2 linked regions of the Arabidopsis thaliana genome follow. The protein of the gene in region 1 interacts with the protein of each later gene in a pairwise test. Each region holds a gene or a part of one and is shown on either strand. Other genes may lie near its edges. The genes, in order: AT3G20260 and AT5G37890.

Region 1 (15,679 bases):
ATGTATGAACTTGAGTGGTAATGTCAGCATTCAATATAGAATGGTCAGCAGTCCCAGAGGCCGTTGAGCTGCCATCTCCATTTTGGGTAACTGTCGGGGCTTGTGCTACAAGGCTAGCAGTTATTGGTGTACTCGGACTTGCGTTTGAGGTTGCATTCACGGGAAGTTGGTTAACAACAGGCAATGGAGAAGTGCTGCTCATAGTACCAACTGGTGTTAAAGGTTTTGAAATGAGGCCATTGTTTATCACAGAAATTGTACTTGCGATTCCTGTACGATTTGGAGTCTCGGTAAGCGATACCGGTGCTGGAGAATTAGCACCACAGGCAACATTTTCCTTAGAGCCCTGTGATCCAATGTTAGTAGTCTTTGCTGCGCTTGCAGTTGTCTTTGCATTTACACTAGCAGACTCAAACTGAGATGTAGTTGCTGCTCCAGAAACCAAGCCAGTATTTTGCAATCTTGAAAACGTAGATACAATTGGTTTTTGTTGATTAGCCTTTATATCCATCGGTCCAATCTTCTTTGCTGAGGATGATAGAACTCCGGCTGCCCTAAAAGGCATTTTTGCTGTAGTCGTCGCTACGGCACGAGTCGCACGCCCATATGTAGGAGGAAATGGCTTCCCATTGAATGCTTGCACACATCTTGAGCAATGCCATTCAGATTTTGGAACCCCTTTCATATTGTTTCCTTGCAGACATTTCAAGTGGTATGCTTTTTCACAGGCATCACAAATCAGTAGAGTGTCCATTTCATTGATGGTAACTTCACATATCTGGCATGCCATTGCCCTGCTCATATACTCTCTTGAAGGTGGATTCCACAAAGGATATTGTTTAACCCGTGGTTGCAGAAATTTATGGATTATCTTAGCAATTTCAGTATGGTTGCCTCCGAACGAAGAAGTTTGACTGTAATGCATTGGCTGATTTGTGCCAGTGAATGTACCGTGCCTGAATGGCCTAAAGCTTGGATCTGCTGTCCTGACAGAACTTTGAATTGGAACCTTCTTATCTGGTGCAGTACTGAAAGATATGGTGGATGGAAGTTGGGCAGACCAGGGTTCAGCATAATAATTCGCGGAAGAAACTGCTGAAACAAGTAATATATGAAACAAACTCAAAATCAACTATGAAAAAGCTATTAAAGAACTAGAAACATAACATATAAATTTAGCAACTCAGGATAGAAACCTAACCAAAAAGAAAGGCTACCATGACCAGTAAGATTTGCAAAAGAAAACGATAGTATTCACAAAAGGTATACTTATTCTAAGCATGAGGGCTAGTTACTCAGCTACAAGCCTAGTGATTAGCCAATTATCTGTATTTGGCTGTTATGATTACCTTCACTAAAATTTACAAGTCCTATCGTATAAAGCAAAACAGCAAACCAACCAGAATACCCTACCCATACTAAAAGTGTTGTAATTTCCAAATCAAAGACTAAAAGAATCTTATCACTACAACTGCATCTATACAAAACAAAGGGGGATATGAGGACTTACGAGTCCCTTGAGAAGCACCGTTAAGTACCATCTGAGGTCTGTCCAATTTGAAATGGCTTCCACTAGTGTTAGCAGTAGCAACTTCACTACTAGGCCACTGATGAGCCACAGAAGCTTTATTCGCTGCAGAAACAAAAGGGTGAAGAAACTGTCAGGAAGCCTGAAGATAAAGCTTTGATGGTTTGTCAAAATGTGTAGCCTTACCAAGACCACCAGGAGATGCAAGACTACCGTTTGGCTGTGACAATGTATATCCAGTGGATACTGTCGAAGTGGTAGGATACTTTTCTGCTTCTTCCATCTGGACAAAATCAAAACAATGATGAAAACGCCACAGAGAAAATTGCATCTCTCAAAATGCTGACAAAACTATACCCAATTGAAGTGAGCAATATCAAAGAGAAAACACAATTGTGATCTGAGAAACAAAAGGCATTACCTTTCGTTTACCAAGAGAAAGCTTCTCAGAGATAGTCACCGTAGGAGCTCGAAAACCTAATCTCTGGTCTTTAAGCTTACCATTGAAACCCAAATCCTCAATCACAGATTTAACATCATCCTTACGAATAATATCCTTAGGGTCAAATTCCAGACACATCCCAGCTAATTTGGACCTAGCTTCAAACATCAGCTCGAGTTCCAACGCCGTCGGAGTTTCCCCACCACGCATCCTCCCTAACGCCGATAGAACCAGAACAATCTCCGCCACTCTATTCATCTCCTCGTCAAAACGTGGCTTTTTCGCAGGCGGAGACACCGGTTCTGCTCCGTTGCCATCAACCATTGCGACGGATTCAAGATTCATTGGAGCATTACTGGTCGCTATATCCATTGAAAAGAGAAGAGACGAGGAGAAACCTTAAACGCGAAAGAAGAAAAAGGGAAGGAGGGAGATCTCCATTGTTAGAGAAAGGTTCAAAATTTTGAAAGCCCTCTTTATAATTTATTTTCGCGGGTTAATAAAAATAAGGAATTTGAGGAATCAGAGTAGGGAGCCAACAATACCCAAATTACACGAAGCAGAAGACGGAGATGTTAGAGAGAGATCGATGAGAGAGGATCTTTTGACTTTACTTTTTTTTGTCCTAGAGAGATATAATAGAATAACAATTTTATCCTTTTCTATTGTTGTTTTGCGTACATATGAATAATATTTTGATTGTTTACGAAGTTGGGCCCATATTTAACAGGCCTGTAATATAAATCATTGGGCCGTGTCTTGCAATTGCCTAATGGAAGTTTTCCTTAACCTCTCAGAAAGATGCATTGGTCTTAGGGGGGGAAGTTCCAGATATAATGCAAGTAGCCAAAGAAATAAAGAGATCTCGTCAAAACGCTTCTTAGAGGGGAAGTTCCAAACGGTTCAAATCACAATTATGGTTGTCATTATATTTCTTCAGGCTTACGTACATGCAATCTAAGAAGCTATATAATACTTGCTTACTGGTTTGTGCTAGTGCCGATATCGGTACATACCAAAATGCCACTATTAACATAAACAATCTTTATGTTTTTGATCGTGAAATCGCCGGGAATCGGCAAAGGGAATCCTCTCTTGAGACGTGTGTTTACGTACGGCAAAAACAAGGCTTCAAGAATCCTAGACGTAGCAGCCTAACAACAAGAACACATATCCACCAGTTTGATGCTAATCAAGATAAATCTTAAACTCAAGATAATTAACTTGACTTACCTGAACATAGTTTGTTTGAAACTCTCCAATTTTACTCCACTTCATTGTTGCATTGAAATCATTTAATCTGAGGCTACCGATTAGATTATTCTTTACGATTTCTGTAGAACACGCAACACTCAGAATCTGCAAACAAGAACAAGATTCTAACTTTAGTGATCAAAAGATGCTTCTTAAGTTAGATTGTTTGGTGGATTACTATTAGTCTTACTGTTGATAGGCGTGCTACAGATAGATTTTCTCCAGAGTCTTGAACATCGAACGCTATATCTAGCTGAATCGTCGCATCAATTCCATTCTCTGTGATTTTAACAGCAGGAGGAGATGTTACTGACATGTTAAGCACCATTTTATTATCTGGATAATGTTTGTACAGCTCTGGAAGGATGAGTTTCCAGTCAGATGTGCTTAGAATGGACCCGTTCTTTGTTTCCTCCATAACTAAATGCATCACCTTAGCCTGAATCAAAACCAATCCAATAAGCTTACAAATTGTTTTGTTCCACCATACTCTAATCAAGATTTGAGAACTTACGTTGAAGTAGACAAGTGTTGCAGAGTTGAAAACTCCTTCTTCTACTGAAATTGTCACCATTCTCTTATTAACCCCACCAAAGAAGGAAGAAGAACGAGACCCTGCAACTTTAATATCATCACCCTTTGGCATGAATAAACCATTGATGTCAACTTCAACCGACGAATTCCCTAAGACAGGGTTGCCTGTAAAAGTGAGATTCACTGCAGCAGAGTCATCAATCTTTCTCTGTTTTGGAAGTGATTGCAAGAAAGAATCAAGCTTCTTCATTTTTTCTACAATTTTAGTAGAGACAGTTTTTTCAACAGTAGATATAATCATTTTTTGAAATGCATCAACCACCCTGCAAAAAGGAAAACAAATATTATAATCTTGGAATAAGAGATTTTAGAGATACGAAAACTTATGGAACATTTAATAATACCCTTGATATAGCCAAGAAGCACCACCATTGATATGAATATCAATGTTCTTTACTGTACAATCATTTTCCCGTGAGGCAATCTTTAGACTTCCATTATCATTAACCAAAGTGGCAGTGATTCTCACATTCATTCCTTTAACCTTCATCGTCATAATCATTCACCTGTTAAGCTTTTTCTTCTGATGATGAAACAATGTTCTGAACACAAACAACAAAACTAAAAAGACCCAATTTGGTTTTCGATAATTTCAGAGTTTTACCTCAACAGAAGCATCTCCATGATCAGAAATCTCAAAGAAGGAAGCTCTGTAAGTATAAGACCAGTCCATACTCAAATTTGCTGTAGCACCTAAAACACTCAAAATGATTCCATCTTTTCGAGTCTCCATCTTCGAAGACTGGACATGAACTGCATCAATCTGAATATTCGATAGACCCATTCGAACTTTCCCGATTAGAGGGATCTTAACCTTATTCTCAATGTCTGGTAGCTGAAGTGGAAGCGTCGTAGTGATCACTTTCTTGATGAGGTAATCTTTAGCAAATTCAAGACCTGTTTCCGAGACGATTATCGAAATGTGACCGCCATTGTTGGATTGCGCCAAGGTCGATGACACCGAGACGAAGAGAACCAGAATCGTCATTACTTTCATGAGAGCCATTTCCAAGAAGAAGAATAAAGTGGATGGATAACTGAACTTAGCAAGTAACGAAGAAGTTAAAATAGTCAACAAAATGTTTGACTTTTGCTTTAAAACGAACCACGAATTATACATGGCCAAGAATCTGCATTTTACACGTCTTTCTTTCTTACAAGATGCAGACTTTGAATGTCTTATGTACAAGTATGTTGTAGAATTGGACCTCAAATTACTTTACAGGGCTGTGGAAACTGGAAGAAGCAGGCTAAGTTTAGTAGCCTAACCAAACATAAGGTATGGTTTGAAACTTATTTTTGGCAATTCCTATTAAGTCGCAGTACTCTGAATGATCAAGCAAGTCACGGAAATCTACAAACAGTTTCTCGAACACCTTCCACTGCACTTTGATTGGTCTTGAATATGGATATGGAAGAAAGCCCTGCATCTCTTAGATAGTTAGTTTCTACTAGAAAAGAATTTGAAAACTTTATGGACACTGTTATCCTTTCTTACATCATATTCTTGTGCGATTGATTTCAGCACGGTAAATGTATGTTTTGTGTCCTCTAAATTGTCAAGAAGAGCCAGCCAAATCTTTGTTGCAAGCTCACCAGCTTCTTCTTTCGATTGGCCACAAACAATCAATTGGTCTGCCACCAGAATATAAGATGAATGCCGTCATTAGCAATGATTCATTAAGCAGAGTCAAATGCATATACCAAACTAGCTTACCGATAAGGGTTCCATGCAAAATGCCTGAAGCAGGCATAGTGGAAAGTTGAAGCTGATCATTCAAGAACACGTAAATATGTCCAAGCATCTCATCTATGTCTGTATCATCCACACCTAATATGTTTCTGCTGATGTATAAAGCCACATATCTCCTGCAGCTAAAAGGCTGTTAAGTTCCTTGAATCTAACTAAGACATTATTAAGCTAGCTTTTTTCATAGAAATCAAGTGTGTTTCCAGTCACCGTTTGCTTAATCCTTGACGAATTGGTCCAATCCAGCTCTTAGTTTTGCTAGCAAGTGGATACGCCCGATTAAGAGCAGCCAGCCATAAGCATTCTCCGCGGAATAAATTAGCCCACTGCTTTCTAACACACGATACTTGTTCCCAATTTGTTATTGGAATTCTGATAAATATCTCTATCAAGAGATCCTCTGTAAGCTTTCCAAATGGACTATCATCTTTCATTGTCGGAGCAACGTTCTCTTCTTTACTTCGGTTCATTACTATCCTGCAACACATGTTTTACACATAGATCACCAATAATACATAAGCGACATAAAAGCAACATCAGTCACACTAAATTATTCCATCGAAATCAAACAGAACATTATTGAATAGCACTCATTTAGTAGCTTTTTAAGTATGTTTAAGAGTAACAAACACAACACTAACTTAGAACTTTAAAAAAACATATCTATAAGCCTAAAGCTTATTAAACAAAAACATATTACTTACAGATTCTTAATCCCAGTGAAGCTTCATTCCCATAATCCGGAAACAAGCAAACTAAAAAAAATCAATTGCTTAATGGCAAAGCAAAAAGCATAGAATCAAATGTTCATACGATTTGTAACCAATAAAAGGATAAGCTTTTGTCTACAGTTATAAGATTAAAAAAGTAACAAAATTTGAGTAAAATTCATATGAGAATCCCATTTGATCACTATAGGCTCAAACTCAACAACACAAGTCCCTATATCAACAAGAAAATTCTATTCAGAGGATCATAGCAATCTGATTGATTGGAACCCAAAAAAAATTCTCTTGAAGAAGTCAAAATTTTATAACTAGAAAGAGTAGAAAACGAAACGGCTAAGATGATAACAAGCGTTTCATCAGCTGAAACAGAATTCAAGCAAAAATAGAATCGAATGAGAACTTACAAGAGGTAGTAAGTAATCCCTGAGAAGAAGAACTGGTGTGAGAGACATGCCAAATGAAGCCATGGATCATAACCTCAAGCTCTCCAATTCGGTTTCATCCAATCCACTAGACCGGAATCGTAACCAAAGTAAATTCAAAAACCATACCAATATAACCAAAGTAAAAGACGACGTCGTTTCATAGCAGTATACATAAATTTGGTAAAGAAAAAGCCCATTTTAAGAGAAGCCCAAATTGTCATCAGAAACAAAGATAAGACCCGTAGATGTATGAGACGGAGGAGGGTAAAGATGTAATTTTAAAAGAGAGAAGTGAGCAAATGGAAGGAGAACAGATAGCGCGGCTTTTCTGACAATATTCTCTGTACGATGCTTTTCTTTCTATCTCTCCCCCCACTGACCTACCTACCAGTTGTTACTTGTTACTGCTTCTTCTCCTTTTCATTCATTCATACATCTCTCTCCTTCTCTAATCAAACACCAAAACAAAACCAAAAATTAACCAATAGAAAATGAAGTATCAGAAAAAGTAAAGTAAGAAACCAAACAGTAAAAGACAATTTCGACCCATTAGGAAATAAACAAAAAGTCAAATTGACTCAGAAACCTCTTTGTGAGGGTTTTGACTGCAAATGGAAATTTTTGAGGAAAGGGTTTTAAGAAAGGAAGAAAATTTCTAGTTTTTTTTTGGAATTTGAAATCACAAAGTTTAATTATTGAATTTAATGACATCTGTTTAAGAATCAATAATACTTGCTCTCCTTTCCTCTCTCACATTTATATTGTGCTCTCTCTGTCCATTTACTGAAAAAACTTGAATTGAGACATTATTATACTTTGCTTTCTCTCTCTCTCTCTTGCAAGTGGTTAGAAACATTTCTCCTTCTTTAATCTCCTCCTCCTCCTGTCTTTGTCTTTCGATTTTGTTTTGCTTTTATTTGGGTTTCTCTTTCTTTCTTAAATTTTGAATCTTTTTCTTTCTTTTTGTTTTTTTTCTCACACTCTTTGCTCAGTGTAGTAGTAGTTTCAGTGGAGTGTTGATTTATCAGGGAATGCTAGTGTTCTTATCAGCTAGAGATTAGTGAATCGAATCTAAAGTTTCAGACAAATGCTGTTGTTGCTACTGATCTACTTATGCATTCTTAATCTTCTGTCGGTGTTCCTAATTCTCTAGGGTTTGCTCATGATTCTCTGAGATCTTACTAGATTCATGCATTTTCCTCATTCTCTGGTTTGGTTGATTCTTTGATTAAGTTCGTTGTGGCAGAAGAGAAACGCTTTTACTCATGCAAAGAGACTAGTCTCAGTTTAGATCTTATGATTTAACAAAAAACACTCACTCTCCTAAGTGTGTTTGAGGAGGCAATGGATTTCTTGAAAGTTAGAAAATTTCGAAAGTCTCGGAAGCCAAACCTTGAAAAGGAGAAAGAAGACAAGATATTGGCTCAGCAAGAACAGGCAAGGAGTGAGAACACTGAAGCTGGTGTGATAGATTCGGGGAAAGGAGATGAGATCGAAGATGACGATGATGATTTCATTACCAATGAGGTTAAGAGAAGGCTCAAGGAGTTGAGGAGAAACAGTTTCATGGTGTTGATACCTGAGGAAGAAGAAGAAGAAGAAGAGGAATCGTATCTAGATGAAGATGATGATGACGGAGAAGACAAGTGTTCAAGTGAGTGGAGAGATGTGGTTGCTGAAGGACTTCAATGGTGGGGAGGTTTTGATGCTGTCTATGAAAAGTATTGCGAGCGTATGCTCTTCTTTGATCGTTTAAGCTCTCAGCAGCTCAAGGAAACTGGTAAAAGCTTCTTGCTTTGAACTGTTTTTCATTGTGATAGATTGGACTGATCATGGATTTGTTGGTTACTTTTCAATCTCTTAGGCATTGGAATTGCTCCAAGTCCTTCAACTCCATCGCCAAGATCTGCATCTAAGAAGCTGTCATCGCCTTTCCGATGTCTTTCTCTCAAAAAGTTTGATGTTCCGGAGGAAGATATCGAGCATTTGCAGCCGACAGAAGTTGACGACCCTTATCAAGATCTAGAGACGGCCTATGTTGCTCAACTCTGCCTCACTTGGGAGGCACTTCACTGTCAATACACGCAGCTGAGCCACTTAATCTCATGCCAACCCGAAACCCCGACTTGCTACAACCATACTGCCCAACTGTTTCAGCAATTCCTAGTCTTGTTGCAGAGGTATATAGAGAATGAACCGTTTGAGCAAGGCTCAAGATCGGAACTTTATGCTCGTGCTAGAAATGCAATGCCTAAGCTACTTCAAGCTCCTAAGATTCAAGGTGATTTCTCAGCTCTCATACATTGCGCGACTTAAAACCTTATGTGTAGTAGTAACACTTGAAGTTGGTTATGTTCAAAACATATCAGGGTCAGATAAAAAGGAGATGGAGAAAGATACAGGCTTCATGGTCCTCGCTGATGATCTCATCAAAGTCATAGAGAGCTCGATCCTTACTTTCAACGTCTTCTTGAAAATGGATAAGAAGAAACCAAATGGGGGTATTCACTTGTTTGGGAACCACAACAACAACCATGTGAATTCTACAACTCCTTTACTACTGGTTCAGTCATCCATTGATAAGGTACGATTTCTCTGTACTCAAATGTTATTACTATCGTATGCTTCTTTGGTGTCTCATAAGAGAGGAACTTTTGCAGAAAAGGGTGAAAGCAAAGGAGCTTTCAAAGAAGACAAAAGGGCTGAGAAAGAAATCATGGCCTCAAACATGGGAAGGTGTTCAACTCTTGTTTGCAGCCATTGACATCAAACTCGCAACACGGGTTTTGAGGATGTCGAAAATCAGTAAAGAGCAACTTCTATGGTGTGAAGAAAAGATGAAAAAGCTCAACTTTTCAGCTGGGAAGCTTCAAAGACACCCATCTCCAATTCTTTTCCCTTGTTGATATAATAAAGTGATGAACACACAATGATTTCAAATACTGTAGCATCAACTGTTCCCTTTTTATACGATCTTTAAGATCCGGTTTGGGGATTTTTCTTTTGCAGACAAATCAAAGAAGAAATTGTGTGTGTTGTTCCATTTGCTTTCATTCATTCTCTTGGCAATAAGAGTCCAATTCCAAGAACACACTTGGTTTGGTCATAGATTCACTATTAAGGGACCATTTTCATTGTTGTCGTTTGGATTTAGCACATATGAAAGAATCCAATGTTGTCTTGTTGATGGGAAACTAAATCCATGATCATGATCATGATGGTGATAGAAAAGTCTTATTCTTCTATCACTTTCATTGTTTTTGGCCAAAGTCTTTTTATTTCTTTTCCACACTTTCCTATTTAACAAAAATCCTAAGAACTATAACTATAAAACTGTTGAACAGTGTTCAGGTTCTTAAAACAAACAATTAGAATTTCTTAATCCAAAAAGAAGAAGAAACAAAAACAAAAAACTTAAAGTGTGTTTTGGTGGTGGCGTAGTAACAGGCAACAGAGACAATGCCACGTGAACGTATCTCTTTCAACTAGAAGTGTCAACACGTGGCAAACCTAGTCACCAATTTGGAGCCAAAGCTTGAATGACCAAAAAGGGCTTGCTTCACCACCACCGTTAAAGAACATGCTGAGGGGTAGTTTAGTCATTATAAGGAGACGACGACCTCTTCGTGTGCGAATCCGTCGTGATGCTGAATATTGTAATGTTGTTAAAAATGCGATATCGAAAAACTCTTTAAATAAAATTTTGTGTATTAAATTAAAGACTAAAACCTTACAATAATTGCCGAGAAACAAAAAAGTGTTAAGATTAGTCTTGACTTGGTGACTCGACGAAGCCCCTTGAAGCAAACTTTTCAAAGGGTTTAGTTTTAATTTCTCTATCTCTCTTTTTCTCTGGGTCTCTTCTCTCTTCAAACATTTTATTTCAAGCTCTTTGAGAAAACACTTTCATGGAAGCTTGAATATCACCATCAGGTACTTAACTCTGCCTCTTCTTCCCTCTTCCTCTCTGTATCTACTTTTTTTTCTTCTACAAGTCATGCAAGGAACTAGTTTATGAATAGAAAATGATAAAGTTTAAGTCTTTTGTTTAATTTTGATCTCTGATTATAGCTTCAGGATATGATTCTCTGTTTGTGAAGAGGTTAATGAATGAGTTCAACGGTTTCGTGTGCTTTTATAAAGATGGCGTCTTTTGATGATCTTGTTGTTGTTTTTCCTGATTATTGAGTTGACTGAATTTTTTAGCTTCAGGAAATGGTAAAAATCTTAGTCTGAAATTTCGATCCTTGATATGTAGATTTCGTTCATGTCTTGTCGATTACTTGTTTTTTTGTTCTTGTGATTAATGAAATTTGGGACCATATCTTAAAGTTCTTAGCTTTTTGTTCTCTTATGGACTAAGGTTTTGCTCTATGTGTCAGGTGTTGTGAAATTTACTTTGTATGATATATAGAAACTTGATTATAATAGAAGTATGACGACTACGCAGAGCGCTATGAGAATGGTTGAGGGTGATCATATAAAAAATTGGCAGGCTTCTAGTGATAGTGGGATCTTTGGTTCACTTGATATGGCTGTTGAAGATTTAGGATTCCTTATGAAAAGAAATAGGTTGGATAGTGGTGATCAAACCGGTAAATTCCCTAGTAGAAGCGAAAGCGCGCCGCCTAGCATGGAAGGTTCCTTTGCAGCTCTTAGGAATCTCTTGAAACAACAAGAAGGTAGTAGCTCTGAAGTTTTAAGTAGGGCTATTGAGAATTATGACTCGGAAGAAGAGATACGTAGTGATCCTGCTTATGTAGCTTACTATTTGTCGAACATCAACTTGAATCCGAGACTCCCTCCTCCGTTAATCTCACGGGAGAATCAGCACTTGTTGCGTCATTTTGGTGATAATAATCAGAGTCCAACAACTTCTTGGGATAATATGGGGATAAGATCATCTTTGCATTCTTCTAGAACTGCTCTTTCAACTCATAGAGAGGAGCCCGAGGATGAGGCATCATCGGGTGAACAACAATCTTATGCTTCTTTGGCTGGTCGTCGTAAGAGCATAGCTGATATGATTCAGGTACATGGTTCCTTATTTTATTACTAAAATATTAATTCATTTTACATAAAGGAAGATTTCCCTCTTACACTTTCTTCTGTGTTCAAGCGGCCTCATTCGGCAGGAAATCGTCCAATAGCACAAGACATCCATGCCATTTCCTCTGATACATCTTCAGAACACGCAAGAAGATTACCGGAGTCCGATATAAATTCGGTTAATCTGCTGAGGGAGACAGATTCTCTCTCCAGCGATGCTATTGCTAGTGAAGATCCCTTTACCACTGATTTGGCCTCACAAAGTTTTACTAATGCACAGACAGAGAGATTGAACGCGAGGCAAGCGAGCCATGAGGACAACAATCTATCTGTTTTTGGTGCTTCTCCTCCATCCTCTGTTGCTTCAAGAATGAGGAGGAACCAAGAAGACCAACAATCTCAGGGAAGGAGAATGCCTCCACAATACACACCTTCATCGTATCAGGTTCAAGCTAGTTCGCCACAGCAAATGAGCTATCCGAGGATAGGTGGTACACAGGACATGATGCAGAGCTTACCAAAGATTGCAACTGGCGAGGTACATTCGACTTTCCAATCTCCTCACGGTTTGGCACCGCCTCCTATGTATACATCAACAGCAGCATATATGACATCTCTGAGTCCATTTTACCATCAAAACTTTCAGTCCTCGGGTATGTTCGTCCCGCAATATAATTATGGTGGTTACCCTCCTGCTTCTGGTATTGTCCCTCAATATATGAGTGGATACCCATCTCATGAAGCGACTGTTCCTATGCCATATGATATCTCATCTACTTCTTCGGGCTACAACAACCCTCGGCTCCTGCCTGGAGTATCATCGAGTGGACAAAACATTCCTTCTCTTGTGGATCCTTTTCAGTTGCAATATTTTCAACAGGCTCAAGTGGACGCGTATGCTCCTCCGTTTCAGAGCAGCACTGATTCTTTTGGGCAGAAAGACCAACAAGCTGTTGGCTATATGGCAAATCATGAACCTCTCAACAGTCCATTGAGTCCGGGTTACGGGTTGCAAAGTCCGCGGCACATGGGAAACTATTTTGCAGTGCCGCCTGGTGTAAGAGTAATGCCGCAGTATCCAGGATCACCTCTTGCTAGTCCGGTGATGCCATCCTCACCGGTTGGTGGAATGATGAGCCACTTTGGAAGACGAAGTGAAACAAGGTATCATCAACAAGGGCCAAGTAGAAACACTGGGATCTACCCTGGTGGATGGCAAGGGAACAGAGGGGGAGCCAGCAGCATCGTTGATGATCTAAAAAGACATTCTTTTCTTGATGAACTTAAGTCTCCAAATGCTCGGAAACTCGAGCTTTCTGATATTGCAGGGCGTGTTGTTGAATTCAGGCAGTGTTTCTGCTCCGAATCTATCATTTTCTTTAATTCTGAAGTAGTGTTTTGAAAGGTTCAAAAGAAATGATGTCATAGTAATCTTAATTTACTACTCATTTTTCTGAACTTCAGCGTCGATCAGCATGGCAGCCGGTTTATTCAACAGAAGTTGGAGCACTGCTCCGATGAGGAGAAGGCATCTGTTTTCAGTGAGGTTCTTCCACAAGCTTCAAAATTGATGACTGACGTTTTTGGAAATTATGTCATCCAAAAAGTGAGCCACTTTTTCTTCTTCTTTTTTTCTAAGCTGAAAAGATCTTGTCCATAAAATACATTGTGATTTTTGAATCAGTTCATAGAACATGGAACTCCGGCACAGAGAGAAGAACTTGTGAAGCAACTTGCTGGTCAGATGGTTTCACTAAGCTTACAAATGTATGGATGCCGTGTGATACAAAAGGTAAATTTATTAATTTTACTTTCCTTATATCAATGTCAGTATCTTGAAGTAAATTGTAGTTAAGTTTCCATGTGCTTGTTTGTACCTTATGATATTTATAGGCCCTTGAAGTGATAGATGTTGACCAAAAGACAGAACTAATTCGTGAGCTCGATGGGAATGTGCTGAAGTGTGTTAGAGATCAAAACGGAAATCATGTTATCCAAAAATGTATCGAGAGTATGCCTGCTGGTAGGATTGGATTCGTAATTGCTGCTTTCCGTGGTCAAGTCGCCACTCTTTCTACTCATCCTTATGGATGCCGAGTTATCCAGGTAATTGGAAAAGAGCGAGCTCTGTCTCCTCTTGTACTCTGAACTTGAAATATTCATTATTTTCCTGTCTGCTTTGTTATAGAGAATCTTGGAGCATTGCTCAGATGATGAGGAGACTCATTGTATAATAGATGAAATATTGGAATCTGCGTTTGCTCTTGCTCATGATCAGTATGGGAATTATGTCACTCAGGTCTGGTTAATCTCGGATCCATTGTCCCTCTTGGAATTGTCTTGAAATCTTTTTGTTCTTAATATTGTGCTTTGGCTTATGTTTTTCTTGTAGCATGTCCTGGAGAGAGGGAAGCCCGATGAAAGGAGACAGATCATTGAGAAGTTGACAGGGAATGTTGTTCAGATGAGTCAGCACAAATACGCATCTAACGTTGTAGAGAAGTGTTTGGAACACGCTGATAGTACCGAAAGAGAGTTCCTGATTGAAGAGATAATGGGCAAATCCGAGGAAGACAATCACTTGCTAGTAAGAACAAAATCCTAAAGATAGCTCTTTGAATCCTCCTGGACTTATTTTAACACTCTTTTGTTCTGCAGGCGATGATGAAGGATCAGTTTGCAAATTACGTGGTCCAGAAAGTCTTGGAGATCAGTAAAGATCAGCAAAGGGAGATTCTGGTGCAGAGGATGAAAATTCATCTCCAAAGTTTGCGGAAATACACATACGGGAAACACATAGTAGCCCGATTCGAACAACTGTTTGGTGAAGGTACTTTTCTCTAAAACTAAAACTTGAGTTGTCAATATGACTCTGCTAAAGAAATCTGAACGTTCTAATATGTTATTGTTACAGAGAGTGAAGTCTCAGAAGAGGGAACAGAAGGTTAGACAGAAGATTTTCTTTTGGGTTGCAGATTTGTACAATGTTTGACTTAGACAAATATGTATTTGAAAATGCTTATGTATATATGCTTGTATCTATGAATGGAAGTGTGATGGTATTACAATATGTATATGGTGTGGACATGATCTGTGATTAATAATTTGATTTGCTTCTTACTTCTTTGTTTTGACGAGAAGAACACAGAGAATTAGCCTCAAGAATTAAAAAAAACTCATCTTCTACTTCTCATGGGAATCATAACACTCCCAGGTGCCAAAAAAACATCTCATGTCCAAGCCACCACATTCCCTAAATCATAACTTAGAAATGTGATGACAGGCTTTAGCTTTAAAGAAACAATAATAACTTAGGTTACAATTTCGTCATTATATGAGTGGTTTGGTGTTGGCGGCAAGCAAAATATCTTTCCAGGCTTCATAGAAGACCCAAGTAATGCCTGAAGATGGCATGACTTTCAAACAACTTGCTCCCCATCCTCTGTAGAGTCCCATCACTCCTTCTTTCTTCACTACTTCTGCTATTGCTGCAGCCATGTTTGGTGGGCATTCTCCCTTCAGAGCTCCAACCATCAACCGCTTCCGCGCTACTTCCAAGGGGAAGCTTATGGTGCTCGCCGTTAGACCTGACCCCAGTCACAACTCAATGAGTCTTAAACATGATTTAAGTAAGGAAATACTGTAAAGGGAGTGGTTTCTTCAATTACTTACCAGCTAAAGCTCCAAGAACAAGCATCTCTGGACGGCTTAAAGCCTTTTTGTTCTTGGATTTGCAGTATGAGGTCTTCATTTTGTCATACATGAAGTAATAACATGTGCTGTAAGGAAGCATCCCGACCAATGTTGGTCCTAAGCCAGCGTAAAATCCACGGATTCCATCGGCTCTAAAAATTCTTGGAATTGCAAGGCTTAAGCTTGGATAAATCTCAGGGCTCACAGTCAATCTAT
Region 2 (15,423 bases), on another chromosome or scaffold:
AGAGCTTTCAGAGATATGGAAAGTATTGTCAAGAAACAATTGGAATGGTACAGTACGAGCCAATACAAATTCGTTAAGGGTCTGCTTTGGAGACTCTATGTAATCAAAGGCATGAAATGGGGAAGTAAGATTGTGTTGTGGAGAATCAATGTGATTGTGGAGAGAGGAGTGAAAGAAATGGAGAAAGAGCTGCCAGAGAATGAGTTTGATTGGCTCAACCTTACTTACTGATGAGGATGTTGAATAGAAAAAATTAGTGTTTTAGTGGATAGTCTCAAAAACTGTGCAGACTCTATTTTTTGGTGTATGTATATAATTTGCAAAGAGCAGTGGTGGTAGTAGCAGTAGAATTTGAACTATGGCCTAAGTTTCTCTGTCTATGTTTAACACAATCTCTTGTGGCATCTCTAGAAGTTTGAATTGTTGGATTTCTTAATACATGGATGAATGAAAAAAAAGGAATGCGTATCTTTCCTATGGAATGTACATCTACGAGATTGAAATGAAAATATTCTTCAATGGTTATTCACTTCTTTGGCTAAGAAGACTAACCGATTCGTATAACTCGAGCCACATTTTTGCCAGTTTCTTTTTCTCTTCAAGCAAACTTATATGAGTCCTTTTGTCTTAAAGCAAATATAATTTCCTTTTTTCTTGACGTAACACACCGTCCAAAATCCAAGTACTCGATCTCCTCGTCATCATTTATGCATCTCAACTTCTTGAATCACTTCTTGTACTACTTCCTGCACTATTTCGACGACTAGTACAGAACAACGAGATAATTGCATATTCAATCTCTCCCTTTTTGACTATGTATTTGAACTCAACAACTCTAGTTTCGATGACTTCATCACCAATAACACATCAACCTAGCAACACCAATCTCCCCTTAATTGAGTCACATCATGTCAAAAACTAATTCAAGGATCGCCTCCATCGAAACCAAGGATGAAACCCCATTGCACCATCTCTGTAATGATTAACTCTCCTAGACCAAGTATTCATGAGTTGTATGAATCCATAACGCACGATTCTTAGCTCCGTTTTACTTCCTTAATGATCTCATGAATGATCTCCTGAACGATCTTATGAACCTCACCCTGATCTACCCGAAACAAGACTAAATCTCTATCGAGAACCCGCTTTGCTACCACTTGAAAGTGCATAAAGTAAAGAGACACAAAATTTGTTAACGAGATTTGATTTTTTCTACTCTCCGAGACCACGTCAAGATTTTGATTTCAATAGAACCAGAAAACAAATACAACTTATTCACAAACACGTAAAGCAAGCACAACCCTCTTGATTCACCGCTCTGTTCTATTAATATGAAGTCTTAAGAATAAATCTCTACCCTTAACTAAATTCAATATGAACCTAAATTTAATCATGATAACCTAACCTGAGCTAAACTCCCCCTGAACCTAGACTTCAATTCTACGCACCAACAAAACCAACAATCACCAAAACTCTCCAACACGAATGGTAAACACCAATACACAAATAAGTTTGATCACACAAACACCAAATTTGCGAAGCTACGTCACATATGATCACCCATAATCTCTCACATCAAATCTCTTAGGGATTTTTATTCTATCAAAACCCAACTTCTCATAAGTTTATGTCTCCCTTATATATATAACAAACAGAAACTTGCACCTCAAATCTCTCTAATCATACATAAGACATACTTTCAAATTTCATAAGGAATTATGTAGTTTAATCGGAAGACGTATACAAAATAATGTCAAAAGAAAATTAAAATATTTTTATACATGTCGATGTCTGTTTGATTGATTACACGTGTCAGTCGCGTTAATTTATGATTTTAACACCTCTTCAACCTTTACAATACAAGATATTTAATAAACAAAGGTTCACAAAACCCTAATTAAAAAACAGAACATACATGTGTGTTCTTCAAGTCTAGCTTTCCCTTCTGTTTGATTGTTTTTCCTTTTTCTAGTTTGTTCCCTTTTTCCTGTTTGGGATTTTTGACATTTTATTTCCAATTCCTAAGACTCTAAGAGGTGTTTTCTAAAATTCGTCTTCTATAAACAGAGATCTCTCCATCATTCTTGTTTAAGAGTTAATTATCATACTTTTTTTTTGAGATTAAATAAACTGGTGTTCAGACACGAGAAGAGAATTCTCACCTTTGTTTGTATCAAAGTTTTGAACAAACCCTCTAAACCCTTCCCCCTTCATCAGCCGAGGACAAATTTCTCCTATTGATTTCTACGCGACATGGTGCTAGCTTCAATTTCGGAAGCTTTGATATCTCAAGGTGATGGAGGGGAGAGAGTGGCTAAGAGACAACGCTCGGCGATAGTACTGCTAGATCTTGATATCCTCGATTGTCCTATTTGCTGTGAAGCATTGACGAGTCCTATCTTCCAGGTTTTGTGTCTTATATGAAAATTCACTTTTTTTTTTTTTTGAATAATGTCAAATTATAGTCAAAAAGAAAAATATACGTTTGTACAACTTCGTGAGGTTGAATGTGAAATTTTAAAAGAATTGCTTAGGAATTGCTAAAAAACTGAACCATTCTAAGATGCCAATGAATACTGTTATCTGAAAATTCAATTGTCCAGTTTTTAATATCTATATTTTTTCTCGAATTTTGAAGGTGTAGTTACAGCTTTTTAACCACAATTTGTATTTTGTTTTTTCAGTGTGATAATGGGCATTTGGCTTGCGGTTCTTGCTGTCCCAAACTGAGTAATAAGTGCCCTGCATGTACTTTGCCTGTTGGTCACAGTCGCAGCAGAGCAATGGAGAGTGTTCTTGAATCTATTTTGATCCCATGCCCAAACGTCAGGTTTGGTTGTACCAAGAGTTTCTTTTATGGGAAAGAGTCAGCTCATGAAAAAGAATGCATCTTCTCTCAATGCTCATGCCCTTCATCGGTCTGCGATTACACTGGCTCATACAAGGATCTCTACGCTCACTATAAACTGACTCACTCCACGAATATTTTCTGGAATATTAAGCGCTTTAGATGTGCCAATTTCTTTACGACCTCCATGCTCATCAGCGATAAGATACTAATTAAAAGGGTACATGAGAAGAAACTATTGCTTGCAGTGCAGTGTTTTAGGGAACCGTGTGGTGTGTATGTGACTGTAAGCTTCATTGCACCATCTGCTCCAGAAGTAGGAGAGTTCTCATATCAACTCTCCTACAATGTGGATGGACACACTGTGACTTATGAATCTCCGGAGGTGAAGAGGGTTTGTAAAGTGAGTATTGAAACCCCTCAAGAGAATTTCATGTTGATACCTCACAGTTTATTGCGTGGTGACTTGTTGGAGATGCAGGTTTTTATCATCGAAAATGTGGACCAAGAGTAAGAAGTTGAGGTGATATATAGAACTAGGAAGGTCATTCTATTATTGTTTTCATATTCCTATGTACATGGAAACTCTTTTTGTCTCGTCTGTTTTATTTAACATATAAGCTTTGCCCCGATGAAGTAAGACCCGATTTGATTGCTTAACGGCTTGATTTAATTAGGTTTCAGTTTAACTAGATTACAACTTTGATTATAACTCGTTTGGTTTTGCACTTAATGTGATGAAATCGACCAACCAAACATTTCACAGTGTTTCAACCGTTCCATCTTTTCAAATGTATTATTATACAGTACATGCTAGGTATTAATTGTTTTAACACAACTTTTGATATATGTCAAGCTTTAGTCCATAAATTGTCATCACTCTTCTTTGTTTATATGCTGATGTAAACATACTATGACAAGACTGTTCGTTTAAAAATGTGGCGACTTAATTGTGCGACCCATAAATACCTTAAGGTTGGAGCAGAATACAAGCTGAGTATGAAAACCGATCCAAGCTCAAAAATACCGAAATCAATGGCTAGAAGAGTCATCATCTCAATGGCTAGAAGAGTCCTCACCGAAGTATTGTGGTGTGTAGTTTCTTCTCCTGTCTTAGTAATATTCATCAAGTAGAAATTTTAAGCTCTTGCGGTGAAACTTGAATGATGTTTGCTTCATTCCATGCTTCCTTGATCAAAATTATTCCATGGTTTTGACTTATGAGAAACGTAAATTAAATATTTGGAAACATGCGAAAATTTAAAAACCAATTAATATGCCATATAAGATAATACAGTAAAATATTAAAATATTTGACACATGTTACAATCAAATTGATCATCACACGTATCATGATGATAATGATGTTAGTCGTTTAATTGTTTTTATAATTTTCCTCTTCATAAGTAAAAAACCTAAAATATATTTAACACATGTGAATGTCTGATTGATTGACTACACATATATCAGTTGCGTTAATTACGATATGAACTTGTGTCAAATACTTCTTCAACCCTTACACAAAACCCTAATTAAAATAAAACCGAACATACACGTGTTCTTCTAGCTTTCCCTTGCGTTTTTGGTTTTCAAGCTCTAAGGTATTTAACAAGATTTCCTTTTTCTGGTTAGTTTCCTTTTCCTTAGTTAGTTTGGATTTGTGTTTACCACTCCTAAGAGATGTATTAAAAGTTGTCTTCTACAAATAGATCTATCCATCGTTGTTTAAGAGATATCAGACTTGTGTTTTGAGATTTAAAAAGTTGGCGTTTAAACACTCTTTTTTTTTTTTACTTTTTTTGGTACGGAAGTCTTATAAAAGTTTCGAACAAACTCTTCTGCCTTCATCAGTCGAGGATGTTTTAAAATTGTTTGATTAATGAAAATATGATAATATTTTTACTATTGATATCTAGGTGACATGGTGGGAGCCTTAGAAGCTTTGATATCTCAAGGTCATGGAGGGGAGAGAGTGGCTAAGAGACAACGCTCGGCGACATTGCTAGATCTTGATATCCTCGATTGTCCTATTTGCTGTGAAGGATTGACGTGTCCTATCTTCCAGGTTTTGTTTCTTGTCTAAAAATTGTTTTTTTCCAGCTTTTAATACATATTTTTTTTCTTGAAATTTTTACAGTGTTTTTTTTTTTGTATGTCAGTGTGAGAATGGACATTTAGCATGCTCTTCTTGCTGTCCCAAACTGAGGAACAAATGCCCTGCTTGTGCTTTCTTTATCAGCCAATGGAGAATATTCTTGAATCGATATTGGTCACATGCCCAAACGACATGTTTGGTTGCACCGAGAGTTTCTTATATGGGAAAAAATCAACTCATGAAGAAGAATGCATTTTCTCTCTATGCTCATGCCCTTCATTGGACTGTGAGTACTCCGGCCGATACGAGGATCTCTATGATCACTATAAACTGACTCACATCTCGAACTCATACTGGACCACTAACTGCTTTAGATCTAGCATTCCATATAAGGCCCCGATGCTTATCAGCGATAAGATACAAATTACAAGGGTATATGAGAAGAAAATATTGTTTGCAGTGCAGTGTTTTAGGGAGTCGTGTGGTGTGTATGTAACCGTAAGCTGCATTGCACCATCTGCTCCAGAAGTTGGACAGTTCTCATATCAAATCTCCTACACTGTGGATGAACACACTATGGTTTACAGATCACCACAAATGAAGAGGGTTCGTAAAGTGAGTTTTGAAACACCTCAAGAGAATTTCATGTTGATACCTCACAATTTATTGCGTAGTGAATTGTTGGATATTAAGCTTTCTATCGTCGAAACGTCGAACCAAGAGTAAGAATGTTGAGGTGATATAGAACTAGAAGGAAGGAATGTCATTTTTTTACTCTCTCTATCTCGTCTGACATTTATATAAGTTTTGACGAACTAAGATCCGATGTAATTGCTTAACGGCTTGATTCAGCTTTGATGCAATTTGTTTGGTATTGCTTAACACGTTTTTGTGCATTTAGAGTGATAATGGAAATTTTGATGGAATCGACCAACAAAACATTTCACAGTTTTTTAATCTAATAACTTCTAAGCTATACTTTATGCATGACCAAATTGGAGTAATGCGTGCTCTTTCGTTTGTCATGATTATGGTCTCCATCTTTTATTCTACTCTTAGTCGAAATCTAATTATAAGTAAACGTACGAACGTGTGATGTCTAAAAGCAGAAGAAAAAATTTAGTTGTGAATTGTGATTCAATGATTAAAGAATTCCAATATGGTAGTTTTAACTGCAATTTTACATATTAGTTAAGAATATAAAAGCTAATACCAAAATTCTTAAATCTTTAGCAGAAAAAATAATAGCAAAAGTTAAAATAGAAATTTCCATAAATAGCACCATTTCAAGTTTTTGGAAAAAAATAGCACTCAAACATTTTTTGGACAAAATAGCATTCAAATAATTATTTTATTTTTAATTATTAAAATTAACAATTAAAAAAATTCAAAAAGTACACAAATTCATCATTTGGGTGAATGCTCTATGAATATGCTAACACAAACTTTTTTTTTATTAGCAATCTGCTACTTCTGCATAGTAATTGACCCTATTCAAAAAAAATGAACTATATAACTCATAAATTGTTAATTCTGCAAACGATATGGTTATTGAAATTATATTGGTTTAAGCATATACTAACCTATATATCTGTTAATTCTGTGAATCAACCGCCGATTTTTTCCTTGCGTTTCCAATAATATTTTCCTCAAGGTTTGAATTACTAGCTTACATTGTATAGCACTCCATTATCTTCATCATGTAGATATCGGACTCTTTAATCTTAGCAGTCTACCACCAAAAATCAAAAGAATTTTTAAACATTTAATTTGAAAATTACTTGAGGAATAGAGGTCAACACTATGATATATTAAATTTAGAAATTACCTGAAGAAAAGAGGTCAGGACTCTGATACTGAATGGAGTGACATCTATGTCGTGGAATCTTTCAAAGAATCATTTCCTGAATTTAAGAAAGATTCTACAAAATTCAGGAAGAGTTTTAGGAAAGATTTTTTTGTGAAATCTTTTATGAATTCCGTGAAATCCTTCCCAAATTTCGTATAATAATCTTTCCTAAATTTTTTTTATGGGAAACATTTGACGGATTTTTTTTTGTGAGAAAATTTTGACAAAAATCTTTGGCGAGAAATATTTAATTTTATTTATTTAATTAAATTAGTTATTTATATTAAATATTTAATAATTAATTAAAGTTTTGAGTGTAATTTTGGAACTATTCAAATGAGCTGCTATTTTTGAAGAAATTGTTTTTTTTTGCTATTTTTATCAATCTTCCAAGGTAAAATTAGTCTAGTGGTTTGTGATTGCCCCAAATCCCAACTTCAAAACCACATTTTTGACAAAAAAATAAATAAAAGCTACATAACTTTTAAAAATAAAAATTAGCTTATTAATTAATGTAGCAAAAAATACATAAACTATTAAGACTAAATAAATAATTATTATTGTATTTTGTAAAATTTAGACATTGTTTCTGTTATATATTATATGGGCCTTAATTGGGAATTGAAGAATTAAAAAATACATAAACTTTAAGACTAATATTAATTTTTAAATGGTTTTATATATATAATTATATTCTTTTATATTGTAAATATTAATAGACTTAAAAATTAGATATTGTTTATAAGTTTATCAAAAAAAGGTATTGTTTATATATTATATGGGCCTTAATTGGGAATTGAAGAACTATCGAAGCCCATATCATCTATAGTTTGTGCCATTGTCTCCTTTCTCTGTAAAACCATCCATCAATGAACAAAATCAACTAAATTCTCTATTTGCCTCTCTCAGTTTTCGAGAAGACTAAAAGCGAATTTAGGGTTTAGTCATCTCTCCGACATGGTTGGTGCCGCGATTTTGGAATCTCCCGGCGAAGGAATTGGATCTAACAGCATTCTCTCGCAAAAGAGACAACTTTCTTCTAGTGATGCAGCTAAGAGAGACGCTAAGAAACGCTCGACAATGCTAATGGATCTGGAGATTCTCGATTGTCCCATTTGCTACGAAGCTTTCACAATTCCCATCTTCCAGGTTTCGTAATTTCTCAAATTGAATCATTTCGTATTTTTCAGAAAGTTTCTGTTTTGGTTAGAACTCTGAACATAGTTGGAACTGTGGCCATTTACTTGATTCTAAGAGTAGCCTTAGCTTTTGAGGATTCTAGTGAACTTTTGAAAGTTATGTTAAAGAAATTGCAGAGAGAAGAAGTTGGAATTGTGCCCATTTACTAGTTACTAGATTTCAAGAGTGTCCTTAAGCTTTAGCTTGTGATGATTTTATAGAATTCTAGTGAACTTTAGTAAGTTATGTTCATGTATGCAGTTGTATATAGTTATTGAAAATATGTGTATAACTTGTCTATATCATGAATTATATGGGAGAATCATTTGGGGAGAGAACTATTATCCTTGGTCGATTCGATGAATATTATCTCGACGTTGTTATAGCTTTTGATCACAAGTTATTGGTTTTGAATTTCAGTGTGATAATGGACATTTGGCTTGTTCTTCTTGCTGTCCCAAACTAAATAACAAATGCCCTGCGTGTACTTCGCCTGTTGGCCACAATCGCTGCAGAGCAATGGAGAGTGTTCTTGAATCGATCTTGATCCCGTGTCCGAACGCCAAGTTAGGTTGCAAAAAGAATGTATCTTATGGGAAAGAGTTAACTCATGAAAAGGAATGCATGTTCTCTCATTGCGCCTGCCCTGCATTGGATTGCAATTACACTAGCTCATACAAGGATCTGTACACTCACTATCGTATTACCCATATGGAAATAAACCAGATTAATACGTTCATTTGTGACATTCCCTTAAGTGTCCGGATGAACATCAGCAAAAAGATATTGATTAGAACGGAACACTTGACGAATCATTTGTTTGCAGTGCAGTGTTTCAGGGAGCCGTATGGTGTGTATGTAACTGTAAGCTGCATTGCGCCATCTTCTCCAGAATTAAGTCAGTACTCATATGCTCTCTCTTACACTGTCGATGGACACACTGTGATTTACCAATCACCAGAGGTGAAGAGGGTTCTTAAGTTGAGTTTTCAAACCCCGCAAGAGAATTTCATGTTGATTCCCAACAGTTTATTGCGTGGTGATGTGTTGGAAATGAGGATTAGCGTCAAGAAGTTGAACAAAGAGTAAGAAGGTTGGGGTCTTCCTGTTAGAAAACTCTTATCTGTCTCGTTTTAGTTATCTTAACCCGCCCATAGTCGTTATGGTTGATGAGGGTTGTAATTTTAGAGACTTGGTGCAATCGACCAACAAAACGTTTCACAATGTTTTCAATCTAAACTAAGATATAATTTATGCATAGGCCATTTGCTATGAAGCATTGACGATTCCTGTCTTCCAAGAAGATTTTTCCATCTTTCTGATTCTTATTTCTTGATAACTAAAATTCTTCCAGGTTTTGGTGTTTCTTGTTATAAACTCTGTATTAGGAACAACGAAGTTGGAAACTTGCCCTTTTACTAGATTCTAAAAGTTACAAAAACTAGTTTTGTTTTGAGGATTTGAGGATTCTAGCGAAGTTCTACAAAATATGTTCAGTTTTGGAGTTGTAGTTCTTGAAAAGTGTGTATAATTTAGCAAGATCAAGTATATATCATGAATTATAAAAAAGGTTAGTTAAATATATATATATATGGAGGATGATATAATTAAGAAAGTATACATGGACATATAATTATATCCCATAGGACAGAAAAAAAGAGGTTGAAGAGGGAGATCGTCCTCACCAGAATCCATGGTTAGGGCCTCACCAGAAGAGGTTGGGTTGTCTGTTTGTGTTAATGTGTATACCAAATTCGGTTTTCCACCAATTTCCTCCTTACAAAATACACCCATTGAACTCATGGCTGCTAATATGGAGATTTGGATCGATTTTTGTGATATTCTTCTTCTCCTTCTCCCCTTGCATATATATATTAGCCAGCCATTTAATATAAAAACTTGTGAATACAACTAAGCTTTCTTTTGTTTTAGTTGAAAGCTTTTTTATATTCTTTGTTATAAAAAAGTCGTTCATTATTTTTTTTTTCTTTTTGTTTTTTTGTTAAAGAAAGTCGTTCATTATTGATTTCGGAGAGCTGTTCAATTATCAAGACTTCGGATTTTCCGGATCTTGTTTCTAACGATTGGAAGTTTGAAGAAGCAAGACTTCGAATCCCATCTAGGAACAAGAACATATCGTGACTTCACGTTGGACAACTGTAAAATAATAGTGTACAATACAATACATGATAGTATTTGTTATTACTTTAAAATTAAACAAGGAAAATACGACAAGTCTACAACGCAGATTAAGTTAAATATTTTTCTTTTTCTGCTAGTGATATGATTCTTCTCTCCAAAAGTATATCTCTCACACAAAACTTGCTTAGGTCTAAACAATAATCTTAAAATATTTACATGTATATATTTTTGCTAAGGTTTTTGACCAAAAATCCCTCACCTATTTACTATTTTCAATATTAGTCCTTACAAATTTAATCTCAATCAAATACTTTATAACTAAAAACTTACAATTAGTTGAATTGCATTAATTAGTTGAATCAACTCTTCCTAATTTTTTATCCTTAACTAAATTTTTTTTTATTGAACTATATTCGATTAAGGCTAATTTCCTAAAATCTATATATCAACATTAAATATAAATATATAATTTTTCTGTCATTATCTTTGTTTTTATATATAGCTATTTTAGTTTATATATAAAATACATATATTTAATAAAATATTAGATTTTTTTGCATCCGATAAAATTCAAATTTTTTAAAACAGACATATAATACTCCATCGATAAAAAAAAAAGTTTTAAAGGTCCCACATTGCTTAAAAATTTGGGACATCGTTAAGAGTCATACTATAAAAAATATTTAAGTGATTCTGAATACGAATGAGAAGGAACCTTGATATATCAAACATCCAAAATTAAAAGTATTGTTCGGTTTACTCCGGTTCTTTATTTTAAATAAGTAAAAGTTTTAAAGTTTTAAAATATTATATATATTTAAAATTTATTAAAAGTTAAGTATTACAATTTCTTAAGAAAATTTAAAAGTTAATAACTATAAAATAAATTTAATATTAATGATTTAAAAATTTTAAAATTTTATGAAGTTGTAAATTTTGTAAATATTTGAACTTTATAAGAAGTTAAAATATTATAAATACTAAAAATATATTAATATTGAACGATATATTACGGGTGAAATCCTATATGTAACAATCAATATACAATTATGAAGTTTGGTCCATATTAAAACTTTTTTGAAGTTTCTAATATTATAATTATTCGAACTTCATAAAAAAATGATAAAATGATGTTTAATTTCACGGGACGAGGTTATATGGTGGGATAGGTTTGGATCGATATTAATACGGAATGATACAATTATACAATTTTAAACACTAAAAAAAAATAGTTATAAAAATCATACAGAGGTGTATCATACTATCATACATAAAAGACAATAGCATGTATCTATAGATCATCCTAAAAACAATAATAATATTTTTAATTTAATAAAAATATAGACGTTTGATGTACCTCTTGAATATGTTATATATATAAACAATATTAATAAAAATAAAATATCTAATTTTCTAAGAAATATTTCAACCCTGGATGTACCGCGGGTCAATCTCTAAATAATACAAGTTAAAAAATAATAATAATAATAATACAAGTTTTAAATCTTTATTACCTCTAAAAAACCCAAACCATAAAAATAAATATTGAATTTTCATAATTAACTAACAAATATGAGAACATAAAAATGAATTATCGAAGCTTTACATAAATAAAAATTATGTGTTAAGAATATATTATTTATATACAATTAATAATTTTTAAAAAAATTATCTATAATTTTTTAATGAACATATCCACCCGTGGTACCGCGGGTTAATATCTAGTATATATATAATATAGGTTAGTAAAAACGTGCAGGGTCTATTTTACAAATAAGAAAAATTTCTAGACTTCTTAAAGACTTTATGATACGTGAGAAATATCCTTGTCGATAAGGGTGTCGATCGGTACTGACGTGGTGTCGATCGATACTGACGTGGTGTCGATCGACACCAACGTATGAATAATGTTTCTGCTTGTCTTCTTTTCCTGAAAAGCTTCCAAAATTCCTTATTATGCTTCATAGCTCTTAAAAGTAGATATGCACCTGTAATGACTAAAAAAGATACAAAAAAGATTAGAAAGACTATAAAAACCATTCTAATACTATGTTAGAAATCAGTAAAAACCATGATATATCTCATATAATTTATTGACTTTTATTTGGTAATTGTATACGTGTGTTAGATTATTGTTGTAAGTTGTTACATTATACTCTAATTGTTTAATTGTATTTTAAAATTTACATTTATTTTATTTATCAACCGTATTATTGTGTCCTTTCTTCAATATATGATTATGCACATCAAAATAACTTTAAACTTCTTTATTAAATTCCACAAGTGTATATATAGTAAATAATTAGTAATTAAATGCAATAATTTCTTACCATATTTTTCAATGATGGAAGAAATAGTAAATAATTTGAATATTGATCATATAAAGTATTTGAGTTCTTTTGATTAATATCAATTAGTATCAATATATCAATATTCATATATGTTAATCTTTTAATTAATCAAGACTTTTTTAATCTCACAACTTTGAATATTTTACAATTTACACACATACTAAAATCAATATGATATAAACAACTTACAAATTTGAAATATATCAGTTAAAAAAATATTGCATATCATTTTCATAGATTTAAATAAAACGCAAAACTTATATTGTATATCAATATTATAATTAGCACTTTTGATTAATTTGATAAATGTTTAATATAAAAATAACAAAAATCTAGCTTTAGTTTATAATTTATAAAACCTAAAAAATGTTTAGTTCAAAATTAATATATCATAGTCACAATATTTATGCTAATTGTTATTACATGTATTATAAAGTAACTAAATATTTTATTTTATATATATATATATATATATATATATATATTAGTTATAAAATATTGTATATTTCACTACATTTATTTCATCCGCGCATCGCATAAGGTTATGTAGTGTTATGTAGTTTAAGAAATCATATACTATATCTTAAAAATATTATATGTTAAAAAAATTAAATTTTCATTTTTCCAATACTCAAATTAAATATGTGTATAAACTTTATTAAAGCATAAACATTTACTTTTATATGTATCTAAAATTTTATAAATACTTTATAAAAATATCTTACAAGTACCTTAGAAGTTATAATTATCTTGTAAATATGTAAAATACTTTGTAAAACCTTGTGACACTTTATAACACCTTATAAAATACCTCATAAATACTGGAATTGAATCTCCAAATAGTAGTTACAACTGATAAATACCTTATAAACCTTATAAAATTTTATAAAATTCGCAGATTTAATCAAAAAATTATTTTTCTTAAAATGATTCAAATTTAAATAGCAACTATTGGGTTGTTACTGAGCATGTCTATAATATGTAGGTTTCCTAGCGGTTTACAAATTGTCAAACAAATATATTGCAATAAAAATGCCGACAAAAAAAAAGTTTTATTTATTATAACTTGAAACTATTAATTGTTAATACTTAATAGCCACATAGGGGAAACGGTCTGAATTCGAATTTGCTATTGTTTTATTTTATTTTATTTTTAGTCAACTATATTAGATTGATTCAAACAAATCAATACCGAAAAACATTATTTATATAGGTGATAAGATGTGGTTGCGTATAAACGTTTAATACTAAATTATCCGATTTTGTATTCGCATTCAAAAATTTAAAAATATAAAAATAAATCAAACTCCTCTTTATTACTATTGCTGGAAGGAAAAAAATGTTAACCTCAATTTTGAATTGTTCTTCAGAAAAATTTAATTACTTTTTAATCATTCAAAATACAGCTAGCTTTGGTTGTTATTTGTTTACTAGAAGAAAATACATGAAATGTATAAATATAATTTGAATGTATTCTGTCATATATATAAGAGAAAAAAATAGTTTCTTAAGAAAAACATTATTGTCTAAGGATCTGTTTATTTCGAATAAACCAATGTGAAAAGACAATAGTAGTAATTATAACAATTGTTTTTAGTACTAAATTAGAACCCGTGTATCACACTGATTTATCGATAAATATGGTTTTACCAGTTGTTAGATATTTATTGTAATGATATCTAAACAACATGGTGAATGTTAATCGATCGAATAAGATATGAAATTAAAGTATTAACTAAAACCTTTGGGAGAACGACCTGTGTCCCCCTACCAAGTTTCACATTGTATCACAACTACACAGAATCTAACACTCAATCTCGGTCCCCATGGAATGAAAGTTAAAAACATGCTTCCCCCTAAATCGAAAGTTACAGACTCTGATCCCCAAAAATGTTAATTCCATGGTTTGCCTTCGGTTTATTATACAGAACCCGATGTCAAACCAAAACCCAGAAGGATAAACCGAATTAAACCTTATTCTCGAGGTATCACACAACCCAACCCGATAAATCCCAACCCGATAAATACAATCCCCAAATTGAGAAATCCTAGAACCCTAATCTCGATTGTTCTTCTTCTCTTTTCTTCACCATTTTCGAATTCAATTCTGAGCTTGAATATGAGCAATTCATCTGGAGCTACGAGTGGAGCATCAAATGTTGGACAGAGAAGAAGATTCGTGGGTGTGCCAAAGATGTGTTGGTGTGGTGCTACTATCTCGGCGCTCATGTCTAAGTCCGCTTCGAATCCATATCGACGTTACTATCGTTGTGCTTATGCTGCAACACATAAGGTAATGTGATTGATATTTGAGTTGTTTCATACAAATTTATAGCCTAATTCTCTGTTCTTTGTAGCTTGTTGATGATAACCACACATTCAAGTGGGTTGATGAAGCATTGTTAGATGAGATAGAGAGATTGACTCGAAGAACGGCTGCACTTGAAGAAACAATGTCCCAAATTACAACAGAGAATATGGAACACCAAAAGATGGTTTTTGAGAAGATGCAAATGAAGCTAGAGAGAGAGATTGTGGAGAGTGTAGAAGAAGAACTGTTGGAATCAAAATCAAGCATGAAGAAAATGTCGATTGCTGTCATTGTTGGTTGTATGATCATGCTAGGTTTGAGTAAGGTGATAGGTTAGGTTTGAGTAAGGTGATAATTTAAATCTAGTGTATTGGGTTGTTGTTGTTTGTTTGTTTTCGCTTTCTGTTATTGTTGTTGTAGTGTACTAACCGTTGATCGAGCTTATGTTTGTGTAATGAAAAACCCAATTTGGATTCTTGTGCTTGTTGTTGTTGTTTGTTTTGTTGTGTTTGAGAATGAGTAAAACAAAGACAAATGGCCAAAGAAGACAAAATAGATTCGTTGAATGAGTCAATTGGTGTATTCTAAGAAATCACCAAACATTATTGAGGCAAAGAACATCCGAAACAAAGAAATGAAACATCCATA

The links.
Region 2: the proteins of AT3G20260 (region 1) and AT5G37890 interact in a two-hybrid assay, tested with the Arabidopsis thaliana proteins (one large-scale study listed by BioGRID).

Annotation. Positions count from the first base shown.
Region 1 is NC_003074.8:7,058,138-7,073,816, reverse strand, and holds AT3G20260 (DUF1666 family protein (DUF1666)), read left to right. Parts: upstream 1-7,087; 5' UTR 7,088-8,065; coding exon 8,066-8,501; intron 8,502-8,585; coding exon 8,586-9,002; intron 9,003-9,090; coding exon 9,091-9,305; intron 9,306-9,381; coding exon 9,382-9,627; 3' UTR 9,628-9,907; downstream 9,908-15,679. Other genes in the region: AT3G20280 (RING/FYVE/PHD zinc finger superfamily protein), read right to left, coding at 1-1,095, 1,511-1,633, 1,715-1,811, 1,950-2,342; AT3G20270 (lipid-binding serum glycoprotein family protein), read right to left, coding at 2,951-3,124, 3,204-3,329, 3,415-3,663, 3,739-4,081, 4,163-4,302, 4,423-4,860, 5,093-5,242, 5,317-5,453 and 2 more; PUM5 (pumilio 5), read left to right, coding at 11,157-11,753, 11,841-13,117, 13,235-13,376, 13,455-13,562, 13,664-13,876, 13,959-14,069, 14,163-14,357, 14,429-14,600 and 1 more; AT3G20240 (Mitochondrial substrate carrier family protein), read right to left, coding at 15,101-15,357, 15,443-15,679.
Region 2 is NC_003076.8:15,084,149-15,099,571, reverse strand, and holds AT5G37890 (Protein with RING/U-box and TRAF-like domain), read left to right. Parts: upstream 1-7,616; 5' UTR 7,617-7,749; coding exon 7,750-7,941; intron 7,942-8,391; coding exon 8,392-9,060; 3' UTR 9,061-9,894; downstream 9,895-15,423. Other genes in the region: AT5G37920 (hypothetical protein (DUF577)), read left to right, coding at 1-231; AT5G37910 (Protein with RING/U-box and TRAF-like domain), read left to right, coding at 2,254-2,406, 2,685-3,362; AT5G37900 (TRAF-like superfamily protein), read left to right, coding at 4,770-4,913, 5,088-5,669. UniProt on the Arabidopsis thaliana protein: E3 ubiquitin-protein ligase that mediates ubiquitination and subsequent proteasomal degradation of target proteins.